Drosophila melanogaster: one gene and its partners. The protein of the gene in region 1 interacts with the protein of each later gene in a pairwise test. Each region holds a gene or a part of one and is shown in the gene's direction. Other genes may lie near its edges.

The links.
Region 2: the proteins of Ipk2 (region 1) and CG15071 interact in a two-hybrid assay, tested with the Drosophila melanogaster proteins (one large-scale study listed by BioGRID).
Region 3: the proteins of Ipk2 (region 1) and Afg3l2 interact in a two-hybrid assay, tested with the Drosophila melanogaster proteins (one large-scale study listed by BioGRID).

Annotation. Positions count from the first base shown.
Region 1 is NT_033779.5:568,487-579,578, reverse strand, and holds Ipk2 (inositol phosphate kinase 2), read left to right. Parts: upstream 1-5,314; 5' UTR 5,315-5,443; coding exon 5,444-6,373; 3' UTR 6,374-6,546; downstream 6,547-11,092. Other genes in the region: Pph13 (PvuII-PstI homology 13), read right to left, coding at 329-1,095, 1,159-1,424, 1,546-1,586; Ptth (prothoracicotropic hormone), read left to right, coding at 2,979-3,065, 3,175-3,498, 3,557-3,802; cold (coiled), read right to left, coding at 4,343-4,435, 4,489-4,799, 4,881-4,938; Sf3b1 (splicing factor 3b subunit 1), read right to left, coding at 6,929-10,231, 10,289-10,980.
Region 2 is NT_033778.4:18,690,152-18,700,594, forward strand, and holds CG15071 (uncharacterized protein), read left to right. Parts: upstream 1-6,433; 5' UTR 6,434-6,482; coding exon 6,483-7,103; 3' UTR 7,104-7,194; downstream 7,195-10,443. Other genes in the region: Sik3 (Salt-inducible kinase 3), read left to right, coding at 2,514-2,711, 9,154-9,489, 9,553-9,808, 9,868-10,443.
Region 3 is NT_037436.4:17,235,696-17,246,787, reverse strand, and holds Afg3l2 (AFG3 like matrix AAA peptidase subunit 2), read left to right. Parts: upstream 1-4,659; 5' UTR 4,660-4,919; coding exon 4,920-5,003; intron 5,004-5,068; coding exon 5,069-5,571; intron 5,572-5,729; coding exon 5,730-6,125; intron 6,126-6,179; coding exon 6,180-7,677; 3' UTR 7,678-8,041; downstream 8,042-11,092. Other genes in the region: CG7707 (uncharacterized protein), read right to left, coding at 2,124-2,415, 2,479-2,678, 2,741-2,974, 3,023-3,259.

The DNA of each region.
Region 1 (11,092 bases):
ATTCACAAATGTACACTACGAAAAATATTCTTTTTCAACAATTCTCGTTGTTTTCAAATGTTATAAACTTACAGGTTCTCTTTATGTAAACCACTTTGCTATTTATCAAGACACATTTCCAGGACTAAAGTAATACAACTTCAGATAAACTAGTATTTAGTACTAAAATTTTTGTAAGTTAACCATCCAAATATTTGTAGTCAAGTGTGGCGACCTTGTTGGGTCTTGAACTTAGACATTAACATTGACTAGAAAACAAGAATATAACTAGAGCAGGTTTCGCACTTCAGTTTACCGCTGAGAAACTGAGAATTCGCCTAAGTTGGATTCACATGACATCGCCAGTGATGACACCACCGCCCACTGGGCCGCCCTCATGCTGGTGATGATGCAGTTGCTCCACGAGATCAGCGATTCCTTCCACGCCTATGCTCAAAGAGGGCAGCGACTTGTCCAGCACCAAAAGAGAGGGAGGCGACTTGGGCTCACCCTCTTCCATGCCAAAGGAGGACATGCCAATCCCGTCCAGGCACAGTTCATTGGATGATCCGACCAGCTGGGAGTGACCGCCGTAGGCCTGCATCTGGGACTGCTCCATGCTCAGAATGCAGTCCGCCTTGAAGCTGTCGATCGTGAACTGGTCCACGTCCACGCTGAGAAACTTCATCTCGTCGTAGGCGGAGGAGCCATCGGTCATGTCCAAACTCAATGAGGCGGCAAACTCAAGCCCCGGATGAAGCTGGGGATTGTGCTGCTCCTGCTGGTGCTGCTGCTGCTGCTGCTGGTGATGACTCGAACTCCCGGCGTGAATCGGATCGGATGCATGCTGTTGAGGCGGGTGCTGCTGGAGCTGATTGTCGGAGTCCATCTGCGGGTGTGTCTGCGCTTGCGTTTGCGGAGGATATGTGGACCACTCCATGGAGAGGCCACTGCCACCCCGCTCCAGTCCCAAGTGGTCAATGTTGAGGTTGAGAAATATATTCGGTGACAGCCTAGAGGGCGACATGGCCCCCGTGCCGTAGGAGGCCTTAAGTTCGTTATCAAGGGAGTTCGAGGATTGCGGTGGGGTGTCCGGCAATAGAGTTCCACCGCCGCCTGAAATCAATATGGGTCATTACTAGCGATGGGTTGATAGGTAACAGAGATATCCTTTCTTACCCAGCGCACTATCCAGTTGGCCCAGGACGGCGCTGTCGTCGTAGGACACGTCGAGATCCAACGCACCCTCCTTATAATCTCCGCCAAGCCCACCGATCTTCTCCTGCTTGCGCCACTTGGCCCGCCGGTTCTGGAACCACACCTGCACCCTCGCCTCCGTCAAATCGATCCTCACGGCCAGCTCCTCTCGGAAAAACACGTCCGGATAGTGTGTCCGCTGGAACGCCCTTTCCAGCTCCTGCAGTTGCAGTGTGTTAAATGTGGTTCTGCGGATCATTAGGAAAACTAGTGTTAGTGCACCTATAGCTTTAGTAGATACTTATGAAACTAGTCCAGTTTTTGGATTTATACCGCGATATATGTACATTTCGAATGTATCTGCTATACCTGTATCTCCGCTGCTTGCGCTTCATTGTGCCTTTGTCCATGCGAATCCTGAGCTTCCTGTTGGTGAACGTTGACGTTGGCGGAGTGGGTGGCGAGTAGTGGCCACTGAGGTGTGGATCCCGCTCAATCTCAATATCTCCCTCAGCGAGGATGGGGCTCTTCAAGCGCGTCGTGACATAGTCGCCGTGTGTTTTTCTATTTTTTAACGATTTTCGTCGACACTTCGAGGGCTTCGCGTCGCTGCTTCTTCTCGCTTTTCCGCTTCGACAAATTCCACGGCGGAAAAACTGCACAACAACAACGGCGAAAGCACGGATGAAGTCTTTGGAGACAGGCAGCTGCGGAGCTCAGCATAAGTCGCCCACCAGCGGAATCTGCATCTCCTCCGCTCCTGGTTTTTTATTCTGATTCCGATTCCAAGTCCCGACTTCCCTTGCTCGAACCTATGTAGCTGCTGATGGCTAAGCGATGTCAGATTGTCCAGCTGTGCATGTCCAACCTTGTGGCACGGGCACTGTTCTTGCCTCGACGACGCGAATTCGACTGAGGAGGATTTTGGATTTCCACGGGGAACAGTGACAGTGCGTGCTGTCCGTCGACAGAAGCCGTAGAAGTCGACCACAGTCCACTGGCACTCGCACACTCGCGGGCTCCCTACGAACAGGGGTATATACTATGTGCCTAAGAGGTCTGACCCGGTCTAGCCTCTTGGACAGTCGTTCTAGCCGGGCTTGTTATGCCAGTGGCGGTGCTCCTCACCCAAACTGGCCCAAGTGGGAGACATAGTGAGCTCATAATTTATGGCAACTCATGGTGCCTTCGGAGGATGTGCATAGCTGGAAAATGTTTAAGAATTCTACATAAGACTATAAACCACTATTTTTACCATTCATCTGCCTTTGCACATTATAAAAACAATATTCTTTAAACAAGACCATGAAACGGAAATGTCATCCATTTGGGGGAAATCCGACAAGTAAAATACAATCGGAATTGCATTTCCCACAGCTCCTCACTCAAAAGTATGCTATGGAAAAAGTTTCGGAGCCGTTTCGGAAACCAAAAATCCAGAAACCCACCCTGGTCAACGTTATCGATGGGAGGAGATCGGATTGCCCTTTGCCTCTGCACACATGTCTGGGTCAGTGGGCTTCTTTTGGCTACTCCCACCGCCCAAAGTTCTCCACCTCTGCCGGCACTTGAGGCCTTAAAGCCATTTCCCCCATTGAAGCATTGAAAGCAGCAGAGGAGTATAAATAGCCGAGGGACTCAACCCCATCAGCCGGGCCACTTGAGCTTGGCATGGCTTGCCATTGTTGTGGTGTCAACTGTGGAGTCCATTGTTCCATCCTGTCCAGGTGACGAACCGTAATGGATGCTGCTGCTCTCATCTCTGGCACAAAAGGTAATCCGAGAGGCGGCTTTTGTCCTAAATGGATATAAAAGTATGGCGACTCCTTGGCCAGAGCTGCAGAAGGAGTACAGCGCTGGTCAGGCACAGATCGAGCATGATGCCGTGGGTAAGTTTCATCTGGATGAGAGCCGAAAGATATAGAAACGAAATTACAAAGGAGGGCGCACAAGGATATACTCCGAACTGAATTCATTTTAAAACCCTTCCGTTCCAAGTTGCCCATTTCCATTATGGCAATGGCGCTGCTTAGCCTGACAAATAAAGGAATCGCCAGTCAGTACGCCAGCGATGAAGGTTTGGACGAGATGGTGGGTCTAAGGAGTCTGGAACACCGCGCGGAGGAGCAGCAGCCCGATCGCAGTACATCGAAAATGCTCAGTGCCCTATTCGGATTCAGTCCCAGCACTCCACATCCCACAGAGATGGCGATGGTCATGCCCCATCAGCTGCCGCCCATGTACTATAACGATTTCTATGAGGATCTGGTGACCACCAAACGCAATGATGTCCATTCCGCAGGCTGCGACTGCAAAGTTACGGTTCGTTGGGATACCATTCAGCCGCGTCAGATGTTTATAATTATTTTGTTATTCCCAGAATGAGCTCGTGGATCTGGGTGGTCTGCACTTCCCTCGCTTTCTGATGAATGCCGTTTGCGAATCGGGCGCTGGTCGGGATCTGGCCAAGTGCTCGCATGGATCCAATTGCAGGCCACTGGAATATAAGGTAAAGGTCCTGGCACAGACCTCTCAGTCCGATCACCCCTATTCGTGGATGAACAAGGATCAACCTTGGCAGTTCAAAACGGTCACCGTAACTGCCGGCTGCTTCTGCACAAAGTGATTGAAAGGATGTGAGCAACTATCGTGAATGTGAATTAATTGTATATTAAAGCGCCAAAAAGACGTCAAAGTTGCTTTATTGTGGGAGAGATTCGATATGAAACAGATTGTTATTTTTAAGGCATTCTTTTGATTCTTATATGTAGCTTAATGTTCATGTTTGAGCTTTCTCTTAGATAATTTGTCTAGGATATGTCGTGGATGCAATTCGTATTCATCAGCAAAATTCGAAATAAAGCAATAATCAAAATAGCTCTTGTTGTCATTGATGCACGAGTATAAAAACTGTCCCATAAACGTAAAAAATCTAAAAAACTTGAATCCAGAGAAACAATTTTGTTACAAATAAAATGTAAAGTATTAGAAAAGAAACTTCGCTTCGCAAGGCATCAGGATAGTAAATGGCATTACTTCCCAACTGAGTCAAGGCACTTTGACGGTGTAGTTTTAAATGGAGTGTGGAATCTACTTAGCTTATGGACGGCTTCGTTTAAATAATACAAAAAGCGAAATGTGCTTGGTATAGCAAAGGCTCTTGAGGCTAAGAGCGTGGAATGAGCCAAGATCCAAGTCCTAATAGTGCGGTGAGCAGGGTTAAACAGACACCATAGCCTTGTCTTGAAGGAGCGCCACTCTGTAACAATTCCGATTAGTTGGTAGTCCCAGTTAAATGTACTATCTACCCACAATGACAAAGTAGTTGCACCGATCTCCCTTGCAGCACTCGTTGCACGCCCAATCCTCGTACCAGATGTGGGTGCAGTACAGCTGCATATAGCGCTTCCTCTTGGACTGGCACTGCTCCTTGGTCATGCACCTCTTGGACACGTAGTATTGCTTAAGAGCACCCTCCGAGAAGTACGGCTGGGATCCCCAGCGGATCTCCGTTCCGCAGACGTTTTCAAAGGGCTCGCAGGTCTTGATGGTGTTCAGGCACTTCTCCGTGTTGCCCGTCTGGTTGGAGCAGACATAGCACTCCAGACCGGCCACGAAATTTACTAAAAATATGTTATTTATTCGAGAGGTTCTAAATATTTTAAAGGTGTGGCCCAAAGTCGGGCTTCAAAAATGAAACTTACCTTGCGAACACAAGTAAACAGCGGCGACTAGCACCACAGCTATCTCCCACGATTTCATCGTATATCTGGAGTAATTAACGCAATCGGAGCCGATAAGCTCAAAGTAAATAAACAAGTCAAATTAACAAACAAAACCACTCCCAAAAAAACATTAGCAACAAATTAGAAGAACGCGCGTTCTGCAACACCAACTTCAAGGCGCTTTGCAGCACTAAACATGGCCAAGTGCTGCCACCTGTGGCGCTTGCTTATTAATAACTTTTAAGTGGATAAATAATTGAGAGACACGTTGTTTGAAATATTTATAAACCAAAAAGAATTAATAATAATTTTTTTAACGTACCTAGCTAATAGTTCATTGTCGCCTTGAAATGATTGCATCTTGCTAACATGTTCCCGCCAAAAAGGCCAGACCCTGGCGGGTAGCCAGCCGGTTAGTCATCACTGGTTCAGAGCGGTAAGTGCGCGCTACGTTTTCTGTGCGACATTTGCAAAGGCAATCCGATTGCCGCCTTCAGAGGTGCTGCTCCTGGACCAGACTACTGGACTACTACCGCGCCGTCATGGCCAAGAGTGATCAGGAGCTTCCCGAGGGATTTCGCCAGCTAAAGACACAGGTTGCGGGTCACACATTCGAGGAAAGCAACGCGGAGGCAGTGGGTCTTCTGCAGGACTCGAAGGCGGGATGCGTACTGAAGCCTCTGGGGAAGCCGGAGTGCGGCGAACGGGAGCTGCGCTTCTATGAGTCACTCGCAGAGGCAGGTGCTTCAGGTGATAATGACCTCCTGGCGCTGCTCCGCGGTCACGTCCCCCGGTTTTACGGCCCCCTAAAACTGGTTGTGAATCGGCGCGAGCGCACGTTCCTGCGCCTGGAAGACCTCACGCGATCGTACGCAAAGCCGTGCGTCATGGACGTGAAGATGGGTAAACGAACTTGGGATCCAGAGTCCTCGCCCAACAAACGAAAGGTTGAGGAGGCCAAGTACGTTATGTGCAAGCAAAAGCTGGGCCTTTGCTTGCCGGGATTCCAAGTGTACCTTCCCAAGGAGGAGCACACTCAGGAGACCACAATCCTGCGCCACGGGAAGGACTACGGGAAGAGCTTGAATGTGGAGGGATTCAAGCAAACTATGGCCCTGTTTTTCAATGCCAGCACAAGTGATTCCAAGAGCAGGAGAGCGGGCTGTGAGTTGCTTTTGAAGGAAGTACTCCGCCAGCTGCAGGAGATCCTAGCGTGGTTTCAACGGCAGCGCCTGCTGCATTTCTATGCCAGTTCTTTGCTCATCTGCTACGACTATTCAAGACTGGCTGATCCCCCAAAGCCGTTGATAAACGGCTACCACCAAAATGATGATGACCCCGCCACTTGGGTGCGGGTCAAAATGATCGACTTTGCTCATGTTTACCCGGCAGAACAGGGCTTGCCGGACGAGAACTACATGTTCGGTCTCCAGAGCCTGATAGAAGTCGTCCAATCAATACTCCACCGATGATGATCAAAGCGGACCAAGACCACTCAAAGATGTAGTAGAAGTTCCAATCTCATTGCAATGAGACACTTTTGTATTATCGTCTAAGCCAAATGATTAGTCCACAGTAGATACCCATCCGTTTAAGGAACACGGGCGGAGCTACTCTAAACGTAGAATAAAACCAGATTTTTTAGAAATTGTGTATGTACTTCAAATCGAATTTGTGAATGGGAATGAGAGGTGCGAGATGGGACTATGATGATGACTCATTGCGAGGCAATTATTTCCCATGAAATGATTCCACGGATATGAGAAATGGATGCGCATTGGCATGATTCGTCTTTCTGTAATATTACTTCATATACAAACAAACAATAAATCTATCTTATCTGTTTAAAGATAATAGAAGTCGTCATGCGATTACGATTAGAGATTATTCATGTAATAATTGAAGATCCAATGATTTTCTGTATTTTACGGCAGGAAAGATCAATTAAGAACAAATGGTTTGAATAGTTTGGATTTATATATTGGTATCTTAGAGAATCCTACCACTAGCAGATAAGCTATTACAATTTATAGCGTGTAGTCCAACTCGTACCGCTCGTACTGGTTCTTGGGATCATTAGTAATCCGCGGATAGCCGGCGATCAGAGCGTCCTGACCTCCAATGTACAGCGAATTGTAGATCTTCCAGTAAACGTCTCTCACTTTGCGAGCGGGGTGGAAAAGTCCCTGTAGCGTATATTGCAGGATCTTAATGGGTCCCAGGGACACCCTTAAACCGTCCACGGAATCCATGAAGGCTTGCACGAGATGGGGGGACGTCTCAAAAATGTTGGGCCACACGTAGTTGAGAAGATGGGTCAAAGCATCCTCGCAGCCGAAACCATACACTCCCAGTGACATATGCTTGATGGCAGAGCAGGCGGTTTGCCGGTGGACTAGATCTCGGTCCATGAGGGCATCTTCCAGAAGTGGACAGACGGCGTATATGTAATCCTTGCCCATTTCTCCGATGTATTCAAACAGGAAAGAGAGTGACTTCAACACACCATTCTGAACGTTGAGCTCGGGCACTCGGTACTCGTTCATCAGAGCAGGGAGCACGGTAAAAGGTCGACAAGACTCGGCCACGATGGCAATGGCCACTGTGGTGCACACGCGGTTCTGACGCTCCTGAACCTTGAGATTATTCAGTAGTGTAGCAAGCACGTCGTGGGGACCAATGGCTTTGGCAATGTAGCCAAAGGTGTTCACAGTGGCTCTCCTAATCGCCTTCTTGTGGGCCTTGAGCAACTCCAGTAGCTCAAAACAAATTCGCATCCACTCGCGAGCGGACACATACTCAGGTCCGCGATCTGCAATTCGTCCCACCAGGTCAATGCAGTTCTCTTGCACCTTCTCGTGACGATTCTTTAGGATGGGTGTAAGACGAGGCAGCAAATCCTTGATAGGAGGTGTCATCTTGGTCATTCCAATCACGTTTACGATGGCCTTCAGGGCACCCAGGATGCTACCCAACACTTCGGGATACTCCTCACCCAAGTACTCGTAAAGCACAACGCCCAAGTGTCCCATCAGCTTCTCCTCCTGGCACGTTTTCATCACTACCGCTATTCTCGAGATCAGATCCGCCGCCTGCTGACGAACTTTCGCGGATTTGTTGTTCAACCGCCATAGAATCGTTCCACAAATCTGGGGCAAATAGGGCTTAACTCGCTTGCCCAGCTGATTCACGATGGTGCCGAATCCATTCAACATCACCACATCCTCAGTGGTCTGCTCTTGGAAGGCATAGAGAATACCATCGATAAGCTGCTCCTCCAAGCGCGAATCGATATCTGCTGCTCCTAGGTTGCCCATGATCTTCTCCACTGTTTCCATCACCATCTTCCTGTACTGCTCGTTCTCATCCTTCAGGTCATCCACCACACGATTGATAATCTCAGAGGCGCCCACCTTGTTGGCAATCTCCACGGTGGTGTCCACCAGCTGGCGGTAGTTACGCCTGTCCAGGGCCATGCGGTGATTCCAGAAGAACTTGAAAAAGTGCGGAAGAATCTCCTCTTTGATGTACTGCGGTTCCACACCATCGGTGGCGCAACATTGCTTCACCACCTTTAGTACAATCTTTTTCATTTCCTCATCTGGAGACTGGAACTCGCGGATAAGAATCAACATCACTTCACGCGTATAGTAATTAGCGTACTCGGCGTCCATCAGGGGAATCAAATAGCCAATAGCCTTGAGGAAGGCGGCCAGACCTTTGCCGCGATGCGTGCGAATACCCTTCCAAAGCGGCTTTAGCACGGAATCGAAGGATTCAATGCCGTACGGAGTGGCTGCCTCTGCCAAGGCAGCAATGGCCAAGGCTGTAATTGTGCGTACCTTCTGCTGCTCGTCCACTAGTCCGTGCTCGATAATCTCCACGAGAGCTTTAAGATGCGGCAATATAGCACATCCCATCAGGATGGCAATTTGCTGGACAATTTTGATGCCAGTGTGCCGCGCTTGCCAGGATTTCTTCGACTTGCAAACGGCTTTTAGGAAGGGCAGTAAAGAGGGAATTCCCAAAGCTGAAGCGACCACGGCAAAGGCACGCGCTGTGGTGTTTCGTACATACTCGTCGATGTTGTCAATGTCCGGTCTCATAGTAGAGATCATGGTGGCCAAACCAGCGGCCTTGGCCAGGTTGGATATGATTTCTCTGCCTTCTATGCGAGCGTAGTGATCTTCATCAATCAGCAGCGGTTCTATGACCACCAAAATCTTGTGCACATAGGGCCGCACCAAATCGTCCAGTTTGTATAAAACACGATCAATTACCTTCACTAATAAATGACGCTCTTGGTCCTCCAATGTGGGCGACATAAGCAACGGAAGAATCTGGTTAAACAAAGGTCCTGCTCCGAATTCCCTTGCTTTGTCCGTAATCTGCCTCAAGGCCGACTTTCTCATTGGTGGCGAGCCGTTCTTGATGGTCAGCAGTAGCTTCATTATCTTGCGCTCCTTGAGTTCCTCAGGCGACAGAGAGTCTTCGTTCACGTCTACAAGTAGCTTGTCAAAATATTGCGCATCCTCTGGTTTCATGAAGGGGAGATTTTGCCCCTTTGGTTGGTTATCCATGAATTTGGCATTCTTGTCCTCCACTTGGATGAAGAAACCGGCTGGGGTGCCAGCAATTGGCGTAGGCGTGGCCATCAGCTTTCTGCCGGGAGTGCGCAGTGGAACATAGCCAGCTGGTGGCGGTAGAATTTTGTAACCAGGCGGAAAGATTTGGTCCAACTCTTCGTCTGTGTATGGCCTGTTTCTCTCGTCGATTTCCTTTTCCCAGCGATAGGCTTGCAATTGCTCTGGTGTCATCGCAGCCAGAGCTCCCGCAGAGGGCGTGGCCATGGCCATTGCCTTGACTCCGATAGGAGTACTGCCTCCGGGCGTCAGCATGGGAGTAGCATGTCCCGGAGTCACATGTGGCGTCATACTGGGAGTCATATTTGGAGTCATGGCACTCGCATTTGTAGGAGTAATAGCCGGCGTAGCATTCGAGGGCGTTTCATCCCAACGAGAGCGACGTTTGGAGGCCCCGGGGGTGGACTCGATTGATATGCTCTCCGCGCCGCCTCCACTGCCTGTGCGATCTGGCTTTGGAGTCTCGGCCCATCCGCTGTGTCCGGGAGTCTCACGCTCTGTTTTCGGGGTTTCGTCCCAGCGATTTCGACGGGCCGACTTCTCGTGTCCAGGAGTCTCGTGTCCTGGGGTCACAGCGTGGGCCGGAGTGGCGTCCCAGATGCGGGTGCCCAGTCCCGGCGTCGCTCCTGGCGTCTCGCTGCCCTTGTGACCCGGAGTCTCATCCCAACGGTGGTCTCCAGGAGTTTTCTACGGAGTAAATTAATATTTTATTATATCATCCATTATACTTCCCAGAATACTCACATCTTCCCAAGTTGGGGTAGCTGCGCTGCTTGGCGTGGCCATCTTGGCCGGGATGAAGCTGTCGCTGACCGTCTGGTCCCATCTGCCTCGCTTTCTGCCGCCGTCCTTTGGTGCAGGCAGGTCCCCATTTGAAGTTGACGACGATGTAACGGTCTTTACCAGAGTTCCCTCCTTGGTTTTCTCCAGGATTCTTCGGCGGAGCTCAGATTCCTCGCCCTTCAGCATCTGCTCCCGCATGATGTCCGTGTAGGTGCGAGAGCCCACATCTGGGGTTTTCCCGCCATCGGCAAAGGGATCCGCTCGCTCTGGGGAAATGATGATGTGACGTCTCTTCTGCCTGTACTCATCCTCCCGATCGGCAATCGTTGGACGCCTGCGGTCTGCCATGGGATCCACATCCTCCTTGCCCTGGGTCACGTCCTTTAGCACGGAGGCCGGCGCCGTGTACGTGGTGCGTTTCTGGGGCACGGGGAAGCCGTCGTCCTCATCCTCATCGACTTCCTCGGCGTCGTTGGCCGCAATGGAGGTGTTGTACCCCTCGTAACGCCCCTTCCCCTTGGCGGCATCATCGTCGTACAAGTCGCTGTCGAAGAATCCTCCGCTGTCCAGCAATCCCACGCCGGCTGCTGCGGCAGTGGTCTTGGCCAACTCCGTCTTCTTCTCCTGGATCACGCTGATCTGTGCCTCGATATCTGTGAGTAAAAATAGGTAAAGATACTTGATTTTCATAGTAGACCACCAGCCAGAAAAACCGGTCGATCCCCATTTGTGTGTGCGGTTCCTTTTGGTGCGCAGATAGTATAT
Region 2 (10,443 bases), on another chromosome or scaffold:
TTTCGGCTCTCTTTTGCTTTCGGCTTGTTGCCTCATTTATTTTACTTGTCGTTTCTTTTTTGCCTTTCGCTTGCTGTTGTTTTTATTTTTTTAATCATTTTTGTCTCTCCGATTTGGTAAAAAAGAGTCAAAACAACTGCTAGTTATCAGCAAAATTGGCCAGATACGTTGAATACCCAACTCTTGCTTCAAAAGCAGTTTTAAAAGCGTTTTTTTCAAGTAGTAGGCACTTTTATGCTACTAAATGTTAAGGTTCTCTATGTTTATTTAAGGATATATTTACTGTAGCAGTTTAAAATCGGATAGTTCAAAGATTTACATATGTATAGGTTCAAATCACACTTTGCTTCAAATCAGTCTTTTGTATAATTCAATACTTTTTAACTTCCATTCAGCGAATTAAAGCTAGACTTTAATAATGATTCAATAAATTATTTAAATTATTTATAGTTTAAAAAAAATAATGAATAGAGTAACTCCTCTTTGAGTACACCGTGCGATACATATATAGTGGATTTTTAGCACCTTTGACCCGGTGACGTCTTTTACATCCCCACCACATAGTGCTGCGTGCTCTGTTTCCCTCTTACAGTCGCTCCCTCTCGCTCTGCGCTGGAAGTGTGTGTGGCTGGCTGGAAGCGAGGTCGCAGCCTCCCCGGCTTCAGTTAGCCGGAGAAGTATCTTCCAGGTTGGAAGTTCATTCAGTTTTGACTTTTGACTCCGTCCGCTTCGTACTTCGCGTGGTTCGGTCTGCGGTATGCCATTCGCTTGCTAATTCCACAAAAATTCTACAACTGTTTTGTGTCTTTCCACTGATAAATGCAAATAAACAATAGGAAAGCGTACGCGAAAACCTTTCAGAAATGTGAGAAAATCGGTGGATGTGAGAGGAAGCGAGAGGGTGAGGTGTCCAGCTGCCGCGGCTCTTTTCACACCCGCGAAATATCACGAGAAAGTTTTGGGGGAAAACAATTTGTTTGGATTATGCGAGTGTGTGGCGAGTGTTGGTTGGGTTAATGTTTGATCGTCGTCGTCGCCGCCTGCTTCCTCTTCTTCGCACACACTCTGGTCTAAATTGATTTCAATGAGCTTTTTGACGACTACCCCTCTCTGTTCCCCACCGCTATCACCGTCCCTTTCGCTTCACGATTATGTGCGAATGTGGCTGTGCAAGTGCCCGGTTTTCATACGACCTTGATGTTGTACATTAACCCATTGTGAGCCCCTATTACTCGCTGTCTCTTTCGCGCGATCAGCTTACAAAAAAAAAAAAAACAGACATGGGCCCTGTTTTCTTTTTTTATCGTGGTCTTAACGCGCTTCATTTTCTTAACGTTACACTGAAAACTTAAAACTATTCCTGCCTAATAAAAATATGTTCATTGAGTAAAATATCTACTTTTTCGTATTTGGAAAAATATCTTGAAAGTATTCTGAAAAAAAATTCTGAGATAATGTACTTTTTAAGCATAACAAAATTTTTTAACTAGTTTACTTCAAAAGTTCCGTTTTTTATGAACATACGCTGAACCAAAAATGTTATCACCAAGTTTTTTTGAAAGCTAAAATAATAAAATAAAATGAAATAAAAACATTGCCAGCGCTTAGAAATCAAAGTACAAAAAGCGGTTATGGCTGGAAAAATATTCATGTGCCTTTTGTTTTCTTTGAGATTTCTGCTCGAATAGATAACACTACTGCTCTCTGTTTTCATTAGTTTATTTCTTTTTCTCTTTTTGCTATCTTTGGTGTTTGTTTTGCTCATTAAACCACACGCACACATGCGCCACGCCCACCCGCGATAAAGAAAAATAGAAATGAAAACCCCAAGGTCAAAAACTAGACAAAGTGAAATACTTATTTAATAATTTTCCCTCTCTTCCCTCAAGACGGTGACAAAAAGTGCAAAATCGAAATGTGAAAAGTAATTTGCGTTCGAACAAAGAGCCATTAAATCGAGACTTGAAGGCGTCGTAAACCAAAAAAATATATATACATATATTGAGAACAAATAAAACGTTCGAGGAAGTGTCGCTTCAATAAATAAAAAAAAAAAAACTAAAGAACAAAGTGAGCATTGGAGTTGCCTGGTGGGCATGGCCCACTGCCCGCCGAGAATCCGCTGGAAAGTCCGAACGAGAAGCTGCCATTGACCTCTTAATCGAGTTAAGTGAATATTTTAGAGTCCGCGCAAACTCTACACAACTCACACAATCCACTGTTGCTGGCGGCGGCTCCCCCGTCTCCAAACTCCCGGATCCCCAACCAGTTTCCCGCATCCCGTCATCCCAATTCTCCGTTCTCCATTCTCAATTCTCCGGTTCACCATTCTCCGGTTTGTTAGTCTCGCCGCCAGCAAATGAACTCTCGCGTTCGCGTTTGAACTGCGCGACAAAAGAAAATGCATATTAAGTGAATTTCCTGTGCGCGAAAAGCCAATTACGCATCCGCAAGAATCCTCATCCTCCTACGGCAAAAAGAGAAAAAGGGAATACACCGACGCAGCTGCGACGATGGCCACCACACCAACGGCTGGGCCAGCAGCAGCTCCTCCAACGTCCTCAACGCCGCAGAACTACAAGGTGCCATCGACCAGCAAGATATCCGTGGACAAGCTCCTCCGGGTCGGCTACTATGAGCTGGAGAAGACCATCGGCAAGGGCAACTTTGCAGTGGTCAAGCTGGCTACCAACATTGTGACCAAGACAAAGGTGAGTTTCCATGCAAATACCTCAACTGATTAACTGACTAATCTTGGCAACTGACATCGGCTTAAAGATTGGTTATGATCTGTATGGGTGAAAGATCTTTAAGTTCTACTTCGAATCAATAGATACACGTACTGATACAAATTGCTGGGGTTTAGATACTTTAGGAAAATCTCCGAATTGTCGAAACAATTTGTGTAAAATTCTTGTTATTTCTGGTTCCTGCTCCACAATAATTTTATTAATTAACAAAGATTTTTGATTATAAGTCTTAGTATTTGTATCTATCTAACGCTTCTATGGCACATGTAAATTGAATGCCTTTTTAAATCTGAGCATATTCATACGCGCTTTTTGCGCATTTGAGCTGATCGAATTGATTTTAGTTGTTGTTGCTCTTTGATGATTTTGTTTATTGCCGCGTAAATATGTGTACAATAATTATTTACACAACTTATTGACAATCAGGAGTTTCGTTTCGTTTTCGGCATCTCGGTCTTACTGATTCTGTTTCGGTTGCTTGGCTTTTTGTTTGCCTTCAATTGACAATGGCTTGAAAAAAGGGTGGCGGGGGGGAATGTGAATCCGGAGGTGGAAATCGGTAGATGCTAATTGAATCGCATTTGTAAAGCGTCTCAAAAGTGTGAGTGTTGTTTATTACCTTACTGCCATGTGAGTGTGGCAGTTCCTTATGAGGAAGTAATTTGATTTTGTCTCTTTTGTTTTTTTTTTTGTCGATGATACATGCATTTGTTATCGTCTTTTCCCACCGAGAATTTCCTGCTATATAAAGTCAACCGAAGTTGATGAGCCGGCTAAATAACAATTAAGCGTCTTTCCTTACCTGTCGCATCTAAGCGATTGACTCACCTGCATCTTATATTTTTTTTAAATCTTTAGCATCCATTGCGGGTGGAATCATCCGACGAAGTGCTAACACAACGGGAACAGCTGTGACACTTGTTAATTGGGATTGTCAAGTGAAATGTACCTACTACAGGCAATGAAAACAGAAGCGAACACAAAAGAGCATGCAAATTTATAGAGCAAACAATCAATTTTTGCATAATTGACAGCGTTGAGGAATTTGTGATGAGCACGTGCCTCTGGCGAAATCGATCGTTATAGTCTGATTGAATGATTAATGCTGTGACATTTAGTGGGCCAAAACTAACAATTGTGGTACTCACTAATGGTATATATAACTTTGAATGTCAAATTATCGCTCAGTGCGACTATAGTATGCCATATTTCTCGAAACAGTCGGTCAGTGTGGCACATCAAAGCAGATAGATAAACAAATCGAATCAGCTTCCCTCGATCTGGCGAATTGTTTGTTGACTGTAACGAAATTTTGTTACCCCTGATAAGAGCGCACAGCTGTTCGACAACTTCAAGGTCCAATGGTGGCCACTTATCTTATTTCTGCCATGTCCACTCAATATGTGTACTCATTCTATATAGTATAGCTATATCTGTGCGTTGGTAAAACATGAGTACGTTAGGATCTGAATACAAATGAATTTATTTACGTATGGTGTATGGCCTTAGAGCCCATGGCTTATCGCTCCTAAGCGCATTTTGCCAATAATTCACTATTATCAATGGAAAAATGGCAAAAGTTCACTTGTACACACAACTGTGGGTACACACACACACATTCGAATTATGATTATTTGTTTAAACCGAAGGAACTGCAGAACCCATCGATAAGAAAGTGTGCGATACGTACTTTGATCAGCGTATCGTAAAAGCAAATCATAGCCTAGCTTACATGATTTCCTCTAGTGAAAATCTGCGGGGGAAATGACTCTGAAATAAACAGTTTTATCATTTCTTAGCCAATATAAATAGTATTAATTGATTTCTTTCTTTGTTTAGAGTTCTACGCTCTCTTGATCGCTTTCATGTGCCGTTTTTCAAATTGAATTTCAGTTTACTTTCTTTGTGTGCGGAATGTGTTTGCACTCAATTGGCAAGTTTTAGTTTAATTGAATTTTTCTGTAGTTGCCTTGGCAACTGTTTTAATGCTCCAATTGATGCAATTAAGCACCAGCCATGCAGCGTAGACACTCTATATACCACTCGTGTTTGTTTTTACATAGAGAAAAGCAGGGGAACTTAAATAAAATATTTTTTAAATTTCATTCCAAGTTAAGATGAAAAACCGCATTGCAAATGTGAGTTTTTAAACTGTTTAAACTGTATGCTACTATACATTTCATTATTTATATGTCGATATTATTTCTCTCTGTGCAGCCCTATGCTCTACCCGTCTCTTTCTGGTCAATTCACACCGTCTCGCTCACATTTGTTGATTGATCTTTCGCTATGGGCAAATATTTAAGCTGCCGTCTGAGCGTTGCCTTTTGGCCAGCAGACCGAAAACATGTTTGAACATCTAACACGCGTCAGACCGAAAAGAAGCGAGTGCAAGCGGGACGGAGATGATGAGCGAGCGAGATGGGTGGCTGAAATCGTTTAACAATTTTTATTTACCTTTTTATTAACAATTTCGCGGCTTTTTGCAGCTCACCATTCGTGTGTCTGCGGTTTTTATCATATTTCTACTGTGTGTGTGTGTGTTTACAAAACCCAAAAAATTATGCGCACTAAATCTAAGGTCGACCTTTTGCCTTTCCTTTGCATTTCCACGTTCATATTTGTATGCTTTTGATACTAACAAAACTATGCTATCTGCAGCAAAAAAAAAAAATACGCATACATACATACATTCCAATGATAAGCACAAATGCTATCAGTGGAGTTGCTTCTTCTGCTGATTTTTCATCCACGATGTTTTGTCATCGCAAGAAAAGTAAATTCGCAAATCAGTCACGTGCGTTCGCTCTCTGTCTCTGTCGCACAGCGGAGTGGGTGGTGTGGGCGCAAGTGGGTTGTGGCTGGTGGGTGGGAGGGAGACAGAAGACAAACAGCACGCGCCAAGTTAATGCTGCCCGATTTGACTTTGCAGGCGATAGCAAAACAAATAATAAATCAACATTTCATCCGCACAAACAGTCAAACTTCCATACCAAGCACTTTTGTAATTCCAGCAATTTTAGCCGTACATAAAAAAAAAAGGCAATTTAAATATAAACGAATTTCGTTAGTTAACAGTGAATCTTAAATATAACGAACATTTTTGCATAATATATAAACCTTCTTAGCTTTGATTTCATTGATTGTAGATTGTGATTTAATATATTAGTTCCACTAAAGCAAGGCTCACTGTTGTATTTCCTACTTTTACTTTATACTTTTGTTAGTCCATTGAAACTTGATTAGCTCGCCAAACATTTGATCGTCACTTGAGTTTTTGGCTAGCAGGTGGATTTTCCCGGTCTCCCACAAGTACTGATTAGAAATTAGTTAGCCACGAAAGTGGTCTTCAAGCCACGACCCCGTTTGTCCCATTTCCATGGGCAATTAAGTAGGCCATGACATGGAAACAGTAATTGTACTAATCGATTTTCCATTTCCACTGAAAGTTACCGCTGCCGTTTGGAAAATTGTAAAATCCAGCCAAGCCAAATAAAGTTTACTGACCCCCGGCAGAAGCATAGAATTGTTGGCACAGCAGCCGGAAAAATCGAGGGGGGTGGAAAGGTTGCATATCGATTAAACACGTGGAAGGAGTGGGTGGGTGGTTGGGTGTGCTGGCAACACGTTTGATTACCGCGTGTAAATAAGAACAACCAAACGAGCGCTGCAGAAGTTGCAACGACTCTCTCCTTGGATGTTGTGCAACAATCACATGCTACCGAAGCCCCAATGGAAAATCCAAAAGACGATGAACAAAAGCCAACGGCTCCAAGGGCTCAACCGCCGGAAAAACCCGCTCGTAAACGGAATCAAGTTAAAATTCCGCCCAAGATCAGGGCGGCAAAACTAACACCTACCGCCATTCTGTGTGAATTGACGCGCCTGAAGGCGCAGCAAAAATATCTCGAATGCAATCAAGTCAAGCTGAATCCCAATAATTTCATACTCAAAGATGATGAGGGCACAGATTCAAAGACCGAGTCTTGCCAAGAGCCGGAAACTGGTCGAAATCCACGACCCAACAGTTCCTCCACGGCAGATCTAATAGGTCTGATCAACGAAATCGAACAGGAGAAACTTGTGCTCCATGAAAAACTTAAGCTATATAGCAGCGAAAAGCGTGGAGAGCTTCAGGATATGTGGCATTTTGTGGCCACCGTTAAGGAGGATGTCTTTCGGCCAGAACGTCTTAGCCAATATACAGTGAATGCTCTAAGGGAAAGAATCGTTGGCCTAAATGCCCAATTGTATCGCTTGGCTGCTAGGAACTCAAAGGAACTCGAAGAACTGAGGGAGCAGTACGCTAAAATGGAAATTGAAAATAAGCTGTTGTGGAAAGGTAGCATGTAGATTAATATACAGCAACTTTTGGATTAGTTTTTTTTTCACTTTTTCACATAGATAATATCCCAAAAATTTGTATTTGTTCTATAACTTGAATAGGCTTGCAAAACAATAAAGAAATATCTTTAAATCAAGTGGAATAGTTTCAAAAGTAGATATACCTACAAAGTATTATCCAATCCAATTTAAATGCAAATACCATTAGTTTTGAAAAAGTATTACGGAGCAAATGCTTTTCTCGATGGCCATGCATTGCGATTTGCAGACAAATATTGCTGAAATTCTTGACATTGTTTCAGGGCCCTTATTTAATGGGCGACACTCGTAATCAACAACATTTTAGACCTTGCCTTGAGCTGCTTGCCTTTTAAATCAATAGGACCTTTTGATGCGACTTTTTTCGCCTTCGGCTGAAGGATTCCCAAACGGAGGCGACACTGGTATTTTCTGCCACGACTGCTATACTTGTTGTTGGTGTATTTCTGGTTGCGATTATTTTGAAATGTCTCATTTGCGAGCGCCGAGCTTGAGGTTCATCGCATTCGCCGGGCGACCAATGGGGAAAGGTCAAACGGCACGTGGCAATGGCATTTCTGTTTTTTCCATACTTTTTTTTCAGCCCTACCCCCCCCCCCCCCAAGCCTTTGGTTTTTCCTTGTTTCCCGTTGTTGGCTGAAGTTCAAAACCGGCTCACGTGGCATTGGCGATTTATAGGACGTAATATCAGTGCAGAATCAGCATTTGTTTCATGCAATTATGTAAAAGTATGACACTCATCTCGATTTCGCCGGCCATCGTCTAATTCGCTCAACAGACATTACGCATACGCCGCATTGCCCGGCAGCGAGAGCGCTCTTTGTCTTTATTATAAACAAATAGTTTGCATTGCATTGCATTGTCTCAAGTTCAAGTTCTACTCTCTCGCGGTGGAATTTTCACAAAAGTGTGTTTGAATTGATTGAAAAGATTCCCTGCTTCTCTTTTTTTTTATATTTTGACAAATTTTCATAAAATGCTGAATATATTAAAGAAATAAGTACTCAGGAAGCAGCAGGAATTCGCTTAAATGTTGAGCAAACAATAACAAAAAAGCAAAAAAAAAAAAAGTTTAAAGAAACCGGTGGCGATGATGATGCTTTAGCTCATTGTCGTCGAGCGAGAGAGCAACAGCTGAGGAGAAAGAGACGGCGCGACTGAGTGAGTGTGCGCTCACTTGTGTTGTTAATTATTTAACATTGTGATAAATTTTTAAAATGTTTCGCGAATACACAAAAGCAAATAAACAGTCGGCCACGGCAACGGCAATTTCGTCGTCGTCGTCTGCGAACAGAAAGTCGTGAGCAAAGAATGTTTTTGTCTTGTCTGCCGCCATCGCCGCCGCTCCGCACTCATCATCCATCCATCCATCCATATCTCATACTCACATATCCGTAGAGATCCCGAGATCCGAACACGCGCACCATGTATGGCGCTGTCATTGTGTGTAGCCACCGTTTATGCTGACACTGCAGACTGTGCGCCACCAAGCCACCCACAAAGACGCCTGGTAACAGAAATACCTACAGTGGTCTGACACTATAAGAAAAAGCCACTTAAAAGGGTTAAATAATAGCAAAAGTACCCAACTTTGGTTGTGAGAATACAAATTTAATACATTTTTCTCAAAAATATTAACCATAATCTGTCGAAATAGCAATTATGTATTTATCAAAAGGGACATAAGATGGTTGACCTTGCCCCTCATTTTAGACCATCTTCCTTTTGGCTTTTTTATACCATAGTAACAAAGTTTTTCTCTTACCACTGTTGTGTTAGCCATGCGAGACACTTTTTTGTTGGTTTTGTGTGTGCAACCCACACATCTTGATTTTTGGGGTCTCTTTCTCTGATGCTCGTACGCTTTTGAAATCACATTTCTCCCCATTTACTTGCTCCACCGCAAACGTTCGTTCACCTGGGCCAAACAAACCAGCAAGGCGACAAACAGTCGGTCGAAGAATGATATGTATTTTTTGGCTAAAATCTTGTTCCTGTTTTCTCGCGACATATTTTGCAGGTGGCCATCAAGATCATAGACAAAACATGTCTGAACGAGGAGTACCTGAACAAGACGTTCCGCGAGATAGCGATCCTTAAATCGCTGCGGCATCCACACATCACGCGATTGTACGAGGTGATGGAGTCGCAGTCGATGATCTATCTGGTCACCGAGTACGCGCCAAACGGGGAGATCTTCGACCATCTGGTGGCCAATGGCAGGATGAAGGAGCCGGAGGCGGCACGTGTCTTCACCCAACTCGTCTCGGCCGTTCACTACTGCCACCGGCGCGGGGTGGTGCATCGCGATCTCAAGGCCGAGAATGTCCTTCTCGACAAGGACATGAACATCAAGGTATGATAATATAATTACCATTCTAGTAGAATTTTGAATTGAGTTTCTTTCTTTGCCTTTCAGCTTGCCGACTTTGGCTTTAGTAATCACTATGAAGAGGGTGCCACCTTAAAAACTTGGTGTGGATCACCGCCCTATGCCGCTCCAGAGGTTTTCCAAGGCTTGGAATACGATGGACCCAAGTCGGATATCTGGAGTTTGGGCGTTGTGCTGTACGCCTTGGTTTGTGGAGCATTACCTTTCGATGGAAAGACTATCCTGGAACTGAAAAGTCGCGTGGTGTTGGGCAAATTTCGCATTCCCTTCTTTATGTCGCAAGGTGAGCTCTAAATGGTAGTATGAAAGAACATATCTTAAACCAAAACTTATGTTACACAGAATGCGAGCAGCTAATACGGAACATGCTGGTGGTGGAGCCTGATCGGCGATACACTATCAAACAAATCATCAAGCACCGCTGGCTCAGCGAGTGGCAGTCAGAGATGCAGGAGCAGGAACGTTTCGGTGACATGTCCCCCGGCTCGGGAACAGTGTCCAAATCGGCGTCCACATCCTCGCTGGGAAGTGCGTCGGATTCACCGCCGCAACTGGACTCTGTGGTAATGACGCATATGCTCCAATTGCCCGGACTGACCGCCGACATGATAGCACAGTCGGTGCACGAGCAGAGATTCGACAACATCTACGCCATTTACAACCTGCTGCATGACAAGCTGCAGCAAAGGCGACGCGAAAACCAAAGACTGCAGCACCACGCCAGCCTAGCCTACTCCCGATCACGTAAGACGAGCATCACGACGGGCGTGGTGGATCGCTCGGAGCCCGTCAAGCAGGAATCTCTGGACCGACTCAGTCCGTTGAGCAATGCCAATGCCTCCAGCTCAGCTTTGGGCTTTGGCTGGTCCGATGTCGCCGTGGATCTGGAGAAATATGGTGATTTTGAGCTGGAATGCC
Region 3 (11,092 bases), on another chromosome or scaffold:
AAAACGTAATTACCGGCCAGAAGGAGGCGTGGACAGCAACAGCTACAGGTTCGTTCGCGGCGCATGAAATATGAAACCATAATTACTTTAATTAAGCAAATATTTTGCGCCCGCAATTCTTTTCATTATCTGGGATGGAGAGGGGCGCGCGGGCCATTGATTGAGAGTATTTATTAAATGGTTATTATTGTTCGAACATCGTACGGCAATAAATTGATGCATTTTAATTATCGCTTAAAAGGCCGACACATTCCTTACACAACTTCGCTGACACTTCGAAATCGAGGACAGATCGAGACTTAAAAATCAATCAGATGTGTATTTATCTGCAAAATCTTCGCTTTTAAGCATAATATAATTTATATAATATAATATAGTTTAGTTATTCATTTGGAGCTGACGGAAATGGAAAGATCAACTCGGCTATTCAATCTGAACAAAAATATAGAATATAATATATATGTACCTTATACGGTCGGAAACGCTTCAAACTACCCATTTTTTAGCAAACCTTGTTTTTACTTTTCAACGCTGGTTTTTATAAGAGGAAAAACACCTATGGTTGAGAAATCATAAACACGATCGTTCGTCAATCATTTTACTTGTAACTTGATCTATTGTCGTGTCAAGTTTAACAGTGAATTGGGTAAAAATCATTGTATATATTGTGCAACGGGGTAGATAAAACAATGTATTGTAACAAACTCGAATTTGGATGCCACAAAAGCATGAGTTTCTTACTTAACTTTACTTACTTCTTAGTTCATTTGATGGTATATTAATAGCAATATTATAACGGCTAGAACGATGAAAGCGTTCACTGCAATTATCAATTTGTTGCTATTCGCGAATGTCATCATCTTGCACTTTTAATTTAATTGCGGAGGACAAAGCACGTCGTTCGGTTTCAAGTTCACGGGAACGAATGATCGATCGCGTTGCAAGACCGAGCATTCCACATTACGTGGAGAGAGAGAGAGAGAGAAATAGTGGGACCGGATAAATGGAAAGTGCTTTCCCTGCAATGAAATAGCAGTGCGAGGGAAACAAGCAGTGTATGCTATTCTTAAATGTAAAAATCACGAAATGATCAAATATTTTTTAAAAAGTCTGTTTGCTTAAGGTAATTCCTATATTTAAAAGGGCAATAAATTAAAAAAAATTAAATTAATTAATTAATTAATTTTAGTGGGAAGAGGACAGCACTGCTTCCAGGGGAAAAAAATATTAATTCTTAAGCTAAGAAAGGAAGGAAAAACATATAGGACATTCAAAAAACCCTTGAATGTTTTGCCCAAATGGTAAGCCATTAAATATGAATGGAAGCTCGGAAGCCGTAGTGCCATACATAAATCCAGAGATATAGCAATTCTCCAAAATTTGCCAGGACCTGGTGGACTCCATGCCGCGTAGGTGAAAGGCAGTGCTGGCTAACAAAGGAAATCCAACCAAGTATTAGACCCTAATTAATGTATTTAAAGGAAAAACTAAGTTAGTTCTAGATCAAGTTGAATTTTGTTACTATTTGTTCGTACCACTGCTATATCAGTGAACTCTAGAATTACTGCCTTTTATGTTGTTTTAATCTATATTTTTGAAACTATTAAAGAAAAAGTGATGTATTTGTTGAATTTTTTGAAATGATATTATTAAAAAAATTTGCCCATTAAAACTGTAAATCATAGGAATTTTTATCTTAAACTCGCAGGTCCCAAGCACTGCTATTTTTATGAACACAGTTGTATAATCGCCACACATGAACTAATAACTATTAAATAAGAAACTGGGCAAATAAACAAAGGAAATATTCAGTTTAAGCTATGTATGTTACTTGTTGAATTTTATCGAGACTTCAAAAGAGCACAAAAGGAAATGCGATAATCTATCTAAAATCGGATTAGACAGCATTTATAGAATGGTAGATTGGTGGATGCTTATGTTATCTTTATATGTAACACCAATATATCTTTGCTCTCTTGTTAGGTTTTCAATCTTATCAGTAGTTTACATGAGCAATCAAAAATAAAAATGCATTTTTTGTATATAAAACGTCAAATATCTTGTATTCAAATTAAATGTTACATGATCGTTAATTTGTTTAGCATTTTCGTCCACATACATCTTCAATCGACTAGTTCGCTCCATCTCAACACATTAAAGTTCAGATTTCCCAAATATACAAATTTGGGTCCTTTAAAGCACCTGGTCTCAACTCGAATGGCAAAGTCCGTTCCTGGTGGCAAGTCGAACGAATTGTGAGGATCTTCGTCTCCGCTAATTAGGTCCTTCAGGTAATCAATTAGAAACTGCGGACCTTCCACTATAAACTTTATAAACATTCGAGGAGTGCGCTTGGCTTTTGAATTTGGCTGAATACTGTAGGTGTACAAAGTGCCTTCCAAGCCCCTCTGTCCACTGAAAGAAATATATGATTTGATTAATCTGCGAACATAGATATGCATTAAATACGACTATTACCCATAGTTCTGATTGCTCTTCTCGTGGAAGAGCAGCTCGGCCAGAATGGAAATGAAGTAGATGCGTCGTTGGGACTCCACAGTATTGAAGCTGGCCTTTGCCTCTCCAATGACACCGATGAATGTGTTGCTCAATTCGACCTCCACGTTCCAGTGCCAAATGGTCTTACCGAATCCCAGGATTCTAAAATTTCGAAATTGCTGCAGAGATATGTGCACAGCTCACAACACGGTAGACTCAAGGAGCAAAGGACTTAACTCACTCGCAATAGGCCGAAAATTGCCATTGTGTAATGGAGGCGCTTAAGCTTCAGTCTCTCAGCACTGAATACGTTGAACGTTCGCTCATTGAGGAACAGGAAATGGGCAAGGAACTTGCCCAGATGGTCAGCTTCGTTATAAAAAACAGCCTCCTTAGAGTGGAAGTGCAGCAGACTGATGGCTACGTCGGATTCACTGTCTTCGTCGGAAAAGTAGCTAATTGTCGTGCGCAGGACCTGCGAAAGGCGGTTGGATCATCTATTGATGTTGTTGAACTAGCCCACCTGCAGCATGATCCTTTTCGCGCTACTCTGCTCCTTCTCCGAGGTTCCTTCCGAATGGGCCACCTCGTAGGCCTTGTGATGATGCAATATGTACGCCGTGCTGATTTGCTTCAGTTCCTCCGAAGTTTCCCGCAGCAACTTGTGGTGATATAGGTCCAAATGGCCCATGACCATATGCAGCACCTCAGCCGGCAAGTCCTGCAATCGAATTCGTTTATCCACTTGAGCCTCCTCCATTCGACTGGCCACGGATTTGTGAATATATGCGTAAAAAGATATGTACTAAAGAGTTGTATAAAAATTCTATGTAGACAGGCAACAAATGTTGCGTGCTAGCTGGAAATTTGTATGTAAAACACCTACTGCGCTCGGTTTACATTTATTTTTTTATTATACTTTTGAGAAAATTATGCAATTTGCTCTTTGATGTTTGTCTTTGGTTATACACTGTGTCGGTATAGTGAGCCTTCTCATGACGGACCTTTCGCACCTAGTGCAGCATCGTCAATATTGTTTAGAAAGAAATGCATCTTTGGATCCTCATTCAACACGGAGCCATCCACACCCAACGGTCGTCAATACTGGCACATACAACTGTGTTCATAAAAATAGCAGTGCCCGGGTTGGATTGCCTTTGTTAGCCAGCACTGCATTTCACCTACGCGGCATGGAGTCCACCAGGTCCTGGCAAATTTTGGAGAATTGATATATCTGTGGTTTATGTATGGCACTACGTTTTTCAGGCTTCCATTCATATTTAATGGCATCGGATACTCGGGCAGAACACTTAAGGGTTTTTTTAATGTCCTTATATGATTTTCCTTCCTTTCTTAGCTTAAGAATTAACATTATTTTCTTTTGGAAGCAGTACTGTTCTCTACCCACTAAAATGTAATTTTTTAATTTTTTTTTAAATTTATTGCCCTTTTAAATGTACGAATTAACTTAAACAAATACACTTTTTAAAAAATATTTGATCATTTCATTACTTTTACATTGGGCAAAACCAGACACTACTATTCTTATGAACAGCCTAAAAGTTGTAAATTTGCTCAAGAATGTAAATAAAGAAGGATAACATGAAAAACTAACGGGATTTTCTTGTTTTTCCTATCTACACATTACATTTAACAAAAATAAGTGGAATAAAAAGTCGATCCCGTTACGTAATTGAGTAAAAAAAGTACTTTTGAACTTCAGTAATTAATTTCCTTTGGAACGATCTTTTTAAGTTTGTTTCTAAACCAAGGTTCGCGTCTGCACTAAACGTTCCTTACGTTTTTACATACCAAAATGACTTATCCATAAAGTGCTATAATATTCATTAAAAAAAACGTGACCGTTGGTATTTAAAATGTATGTCGGTATTATTTAACCTTTCAGAGAGTTCCACTATTTTACTAAACAGCTTGGCACTAACTGAAGAGAGCATGATTGCTTCTGGTCTATAGCATTGTTCTCCTGCAATCGGGCCCAATTCGATTAACATTCATAAGAGCTTTGGGTAAGATATGCAAATCTTATTTATTTTTATTCAATTTTATGAAAATATATTTAAAAAGGGTATTTAAAATTCACTACTTAAAAATTTATTTCTGTTTTCAAACTATGGTATTTATTAATAGACCGGTCGGTATTTTCCATTGTTTTCGACGCGGTCACACTTAGTAATAAGAAATTTCTTACGCTTATTATTTCACCATTTCATTTGCGAAATCCGAGAGAAATTCAAAAGAAACCGGGTGTGCGTGGCGGCGAATTTCGGTGTCAGTTCGAAAAATCCATTATTTCCGTACCAAAATTGTGTCAGTGTGAGAGGCTTGGAGGCGGTGGCCACGCAATCCGGGCGACCGATCGTTGGGTAACCTAGCGCGAGAACCGAAAAACCGCCGTAGTCATGGCGTTCCGGCTGCTTGGCACGGCCAAAACGATGGCCGGAATGATGCGGCGCAACTACACGGCGGGTTCCTTGCCGGGAAAGGTGCCCACATCCCTCACTTACAAGGCTAGCCAAGTTTTTAATGCCCCCTCCTTTTTTTTTTGCAGGGACAACGCACACACATGGGTGCCACGGGCGCCGGGGTTTACATCCTGCCCACGGAGCTGTCGCCCCTGCTGCGCTACGTGGTCAAACAGATCCAGCTGCTGTGCAAAAAGCCGCCGAAGGGATTTGAAAAGTATTTCGAAGCCGGCGGCAAGTCGTCTGGCCAACCGAAGGGATCCGTCGGCGATAAGAAGCCACCCGCGGGTTCCAGCAAATCCGCCTCGGAGAAGCCCAGCACATCGACACCCGCCTCAGTTAAACCCAGCAGATCCCAAACAGACGCGAAATCGGACTGGAACTTCGGCATGTTCAGCAACAGCTCGAGGGGGCCAGCAGGAAAAGGAGGCAACTCGCTGGGCGGACGACCTCTGGGCGAGAACGGTGGCGGCGGGGACAGGGAGCGGTGGATCCTTCTGGGTGCCATCGGAGCCGTCGTCCTGGTGGGTTCGTTCGCCTTCTTCGAGATGGGCTACAAGGAGATCTCGTGGAAGGAGTTCGTCAACAGGTGAGTTCTAGCATTGCGTGTTGCATAAGAGTTCGATCAAAACATGTGAAACTAGAAGCTGTGGAATATATACATAATTCCATGGATCTAGATCTTTCGCCTGTTGTGATACGACTGCAATTCTCACTATTATATTTATCTCTATTTCCCAAAAACAGCTACCTGTCGAAGGGCGTCGTGGAGAAGCTGGAGGTGGTTAACAAGAAGTGGGTGAGAGTGCGTCTGCAGCAGAACAGCAACAGCGGCAGCGGCGTCTTGTGGTTCAACATCGGCAGTGTCGATAGCTTCGAGCGAAACCTGGAGGCAGCCCAGACGGAGCAGGGAACGGAATCCATCAACTTTGTGCCCGTAATCTACCGCAACGAGGTGGAGGCCGCCAGTCTGACGGGTCTGCTGCCCACGTTGCTCATCATAGGCTTTCTGGTCTATATGATGCGGAAGTCGGCCGATATGATGGGTGGAGGCCGTGGGCGCAAGGGTGGTGGTCTTTTTGGTGGCGTCATGCAGTCCACCGCAAAGCTAACCAATCCCAATGAGATTGGTGTGGGTTTCAAGTAAGTTGGCGAGACTTCACAGTACATACCTAATACCTTTTATATTCTTTACAGGGATGTTGCCGGTTGCGAGGAGGCCAAAATCGAAATCATGGAGTTCGTTAACTTCCTGAAGAACCCGCAGCAGTATATTGATTTAGGCGCCAAGATACCGAAGGGTGCCATGCTAACTGGCCCACCCGGAACGGGTAAAACGCTACTGGCCAAGGCTACCGCCGGCGAGGCGAATGTACCGTTTATTACCGTGTCGGGATCCGAGTTCCTCGAGATGTTTGTGGGCGTGGGACCTTCTCGTGTCCGCGACATGTTCGCCATGGCCCGAAAGCATGCTCCCTGCATCCTCTTCATCGACGAAATCGATGCTGTGGGTCGCAAACGTGGTGGCAAGACCTTCGGTGGCCACTCGGAGCAAGAGAATACCCTTAACCAGCTTCTGGTGGAAATGGATGGCTTCAATACCACTACGAATGTGGTCGTACTGGCCGCCACTAATCGTGTTGATATTCTGGACAAGGCTCTCATGCGACCAGGTCGTTTCGATCGACAGATTTATGTACCAGCACCTGATATTAAGGGCAGGGCGAGCATCTTTAAGGTGCATCTGGGTAACCTGAAAACGTCGCTGGACAAGAACGAGCTGAGCAGAAAAATGGCTGCACTGACACCAGGCTTCACAGGCGCTGACATCGCGAATGTTTGCAACGAAGCTGCTTTGATTGCCGCCCGCGACTCCAAGGATTCGATCGTACTCAAGCACTTCGAGCAGGCCATTGAGCGTGTTATCGCTGGCATGGAGAAGAAGACCAATGTTCTGGCGCCGGAGGAAAAGCGAACGGTGGCACACCACGAGGCTGGCCATGCGGTGGCCGGTTGGTTCCTGGAGCACGCAGATCCCCTGCTGAAGGTCTCGATTATACCACGCGGCAAGGGTCTGGGCTACGCCCAGTATCTGCCCAAGGATCACTACTTGCTGTCCAAGGAGCAGTTGTTCGATCGCATGTGCATGACGCTCGGCGGACGTGTGGCCGAAGAGCTGTTCTTTAATCGCATTACCACTGGTGCTCAGGATGATCTAAAGAAGATCACCGATATTGCCTACTCCCAGGTGGTGCGTTTCGGCATGAACGAGAAGGTCGGGCAGGTCAGCTTCGATGTGGGCCAGGCCGGTGATCCCGTTTTCAGCAAACCATACTCGGAGGACACAGCGCAGCTGATCGACAACGAGGTGAGGTCGATTATCAAATGTGCCCACGAGGCCACCACTAGTCTGCTGACCAAGCACAAGGAGAATGTTCAAAAAGTGGCGGAAAGACTGCTCCAAAACGAAGTGCTCAGCCGTGATGATATGATTGAGCTGCTGGGCCCACGACCCTTCAAAGAGAAGTCAACCTACGAGGAGTTCGTCGAGGGTACCGGCTCCTTCGAGGAGGACACCACTCTGCCCGAAGGCCTCAAGAGCTGGAACAAGGAAAAGGAACGAACGGAGCCTCTGGACGCTGGCAGCACGCCATCATCGCCGCCCACCAAGCCCGTAACTGCCCAGAGCAGTTAGGCAACGATCTTCGCTCATGTGGATGGGGAGTTTTGGTGTGGTAGTTCGAGGGTGCCGACATCTGTTTGTTTTTGTTGTAATCCCTAAACGCGGACCGGAGAAAACCCCGACATGTGGCAGATCGAGAAGGCAGGGCTCAAGGAGTTCCTAGACCTTCTGGAGTTACAGTTCTCCACGACGCGTTCATTATTGTTTTTGCATAATTTTAAGATACCCACATGGATAACTTGTTCCCGTGTTGAGCAATTAAGTGCTAGCCTGTACTAAATTCCCCGTATGCGTAGTTTCAAAATGGCAATAAAGAATGGAAATGACCTGTCAGTGTGGAAAAGCGAAATTAAACGATGTTATCAAGGCGAAAAATAATCGAATCAGTGTTGTTACTGCCTTACGGTTTAAACCCGTTTTCGAAAACAGCAAAAGTTGCAAAATACATACAATGTATTGCTTCATTATGTATATTTCATACAATAAAATGTTATGATAACATTGGAATGCAAAATTTGTTCTTAACTTTGGGATAGCCAGCTTTATTCTTAAGTTGACTGATAGTGCCAGGTTAAAATTTTTTTCAGTGTGAGCTTTTAAAGCTGCACGCGGTTTAAGAGAGTGCCGCTCTCTTCGGTAAGCTTTCTCCGCAAACTTTCGCCGGCTACTCTTCCTCGCTGCGGCTTATCACTTATCAGCTGTGATGCTGAAGTACATGCGCCATGTGCAGCCGGTAAATAGTGCAACTGCCGCAGTCGGCGCCTCTGCCGGTGCAAAGCTCCGTAGGGGCAGCACCAGCGGCAACAACAACAGCAGCAACAGCAGCGAAGGCAGAGAGTGCAGCAGTGCAGTCGACGTCGCTGCCGCCGGTCGTTTTGGGGCCGTCAGTTGGGTTTTGGGGTCTCGCCGCTCAGTGTCGTCTTGTTGGTTGTCGCGTTCGTGTGCGCGCACTGAGAAAAGCGGAACGCCAGCGTTGCACTAACCGTTGCAGTTTCTATATTACTCTCGAGTCGCCCGATTTCAGAGCTGTTCGTACCGCTCGTGGGAGTGCGTGCGTTTTAACCAAAACAACTACCAAATCGCGTACAAGATACCAAACCAATATAACCGAGAGGCCCGAAAGGAAAACCCCTGCTGTGGAGGGCATTTTGCATTTTGTTTACCTCGATGGCTGTGTGGAGTGCAATTTGACGATTATATAATATAAAATACAAAATACAAAAAATAGGGAAAACGAGTAACAGTGCGCGGCATTCGATTTTAATTGCAATCAACTACAATAACCGCTGAAGTAGAGGAGTTAAAGCGCAAACCTCTCCCTCGCACCCCCGCCCTCCCTCTCACTCACACTCACTAACACATTGCGTTTGTGTTGATCTTTCCTGCAAAATGGCTGCCGGCCGGCAAAATAACGGCAACATCCATACTTGATCGATAGAAAGAGAGCGGCAGAGAATCCCTAGCGATTTCATGTTTGATTTATTGGATTTTATTTTTCCTGAGACTTTCCTTTAGGCTTCTTGTTTGATTTCTTAGAAAATTAAAATTATGTATTTATGACAAATGGTGACCATTAGGATGAACAGAACAAGGAGGAGAATTTAATGCTAATGTTTATTTATTTTGTCAAGAAAATTATATTTAAATTTGTTTTGCCATTTGCATTTATTCTGCTTTAAGATAGGAAGCAAAATATCTCTTATCAATTAGTGTAAAATCAATCAACAAACACGTGTATTACATAAAATTTAAATTTGATTAATATTTTCGTTCCTTTTATTAGAGATCTTCGTTGTGATCACTTTTATAAAATGGCTGACATCGGTAACGGTAACTTCGATTACTGATCAATCGAGCGCCCCCTGTCGGCGATTCTCTTAGCTCTGTTTTAGTTTATCGTTTATTTTGTTTTATTTTGTGCTGCCAATTGTCGCAATTGCAATTGTCGGGTCACGTGTTTGTTGCTGCCGCCAGTTAACTTCTGCTCTCGTTGTAACGGTGCATGTTCCCTGTGCGGGTGTGTGTGTGCTGATGTACGATTGTGTGTGTGCGTGTCTGTTCGTGAAAGCTTGCATGCTGCGCGTTATTATATTGTTGCTGGCGTTGTTGTAATTTTTGTTGAGGGAGTCACTGCATGCAATGTTCTTCTTGCCCTTTCGCACCTCCCTATCTATCTATCTCTGTCTTTTTCTATTATTTGTTGTTGCTTTTACTGCTGTTGTGGGTGTGGGAAAAATCAAGGCGCGTATTAAGCACAGAAAATGCAAAAAAGAACACACACAAAATATAGGAAAGCGAATAATTTCGGAGAGAAAGCAACGGAAAATAATTGCTTTAACAAGCAAAAGTTCAAAGCTATAAAATTTGGATGCCAGCATTTTTGAATTTCCGAAAAATTGTTCGGGAAACCAAGGTGTTTCTGGCGTAAAAAAAAGTGTCACTTAAAACCTTTTTAATGTTAAAAATCGTTCAGATTATTTAACAACGATGGGAATTTATGAAATTAGTAGAGAGCTTTTTACTAAATATTTGGAATTTTATAATTATTACACAAGCTCACAATAAGTAAACACGTATACTTATAATTTTTGAAAAACATTTGGATCTTTAACCTTTTATATTTAGTTTTCTTAATTTTTTATGAGACGCCTATTCTAAGAAAATTAATTTGATGGCTCATGCCATATGTGTAAAGTGAGTCAAATTTATTTCAAACAAAGATCTTTTACAGTCTTAGTACCGCATCCCAATTGTCACTCAGCCGTTACTTAACCGCCCCCCTTTTCCCACCCGTTCCTCACCTGGCTTTTCCACGGTTTTCCTCCCTCTCTCTCTCTATCGCTCCCACATCGGTTGCACTTTTTTGCATTTTACGATTGTTCGTTGCGAATCATTGCATTTTAGGGGGTGGGTGGGGGTGGTGCAGCAGCTGCGGATGGGTGGGAAAGCGAGGAGTGGCGAGGGGGAGCGAGTGAAGGGGAAAATTGCATTTTCAAAAGTTTCCCTGGGCAAAGTTTAAAATTGCAATTTAATTAATTTTCACCAAACACAACGAAACAGATCTTTTGCAGTAATATGTTGCCTTCAAATCAATTGGGAAACCAACAACCAAAGTTAACGCAACGTTTCTAAAACTTAAAGTCTAAACAACAAACGAAATAATAGTTACGAAATACACAATAATATTTAAACCAAACCAAAAGTGGCCTGCAAAACGAAGCAACCAAAACAACCAAAACAACCAAGAAATGTGATTCAATGTGTGCAATGTAACCAAATTATAATTAACAAGCTAAATAAAACGATAACTAGAGCAGGAGAAAAGCCGTGGAAAATCAGCGGGAAAGCCAACCAAAGCCAGGCCAAATGGAAAACAAGGAATCCGGCAGCCAATCGAACAGCCAACTAGCAGCCATCGTGGCCAATG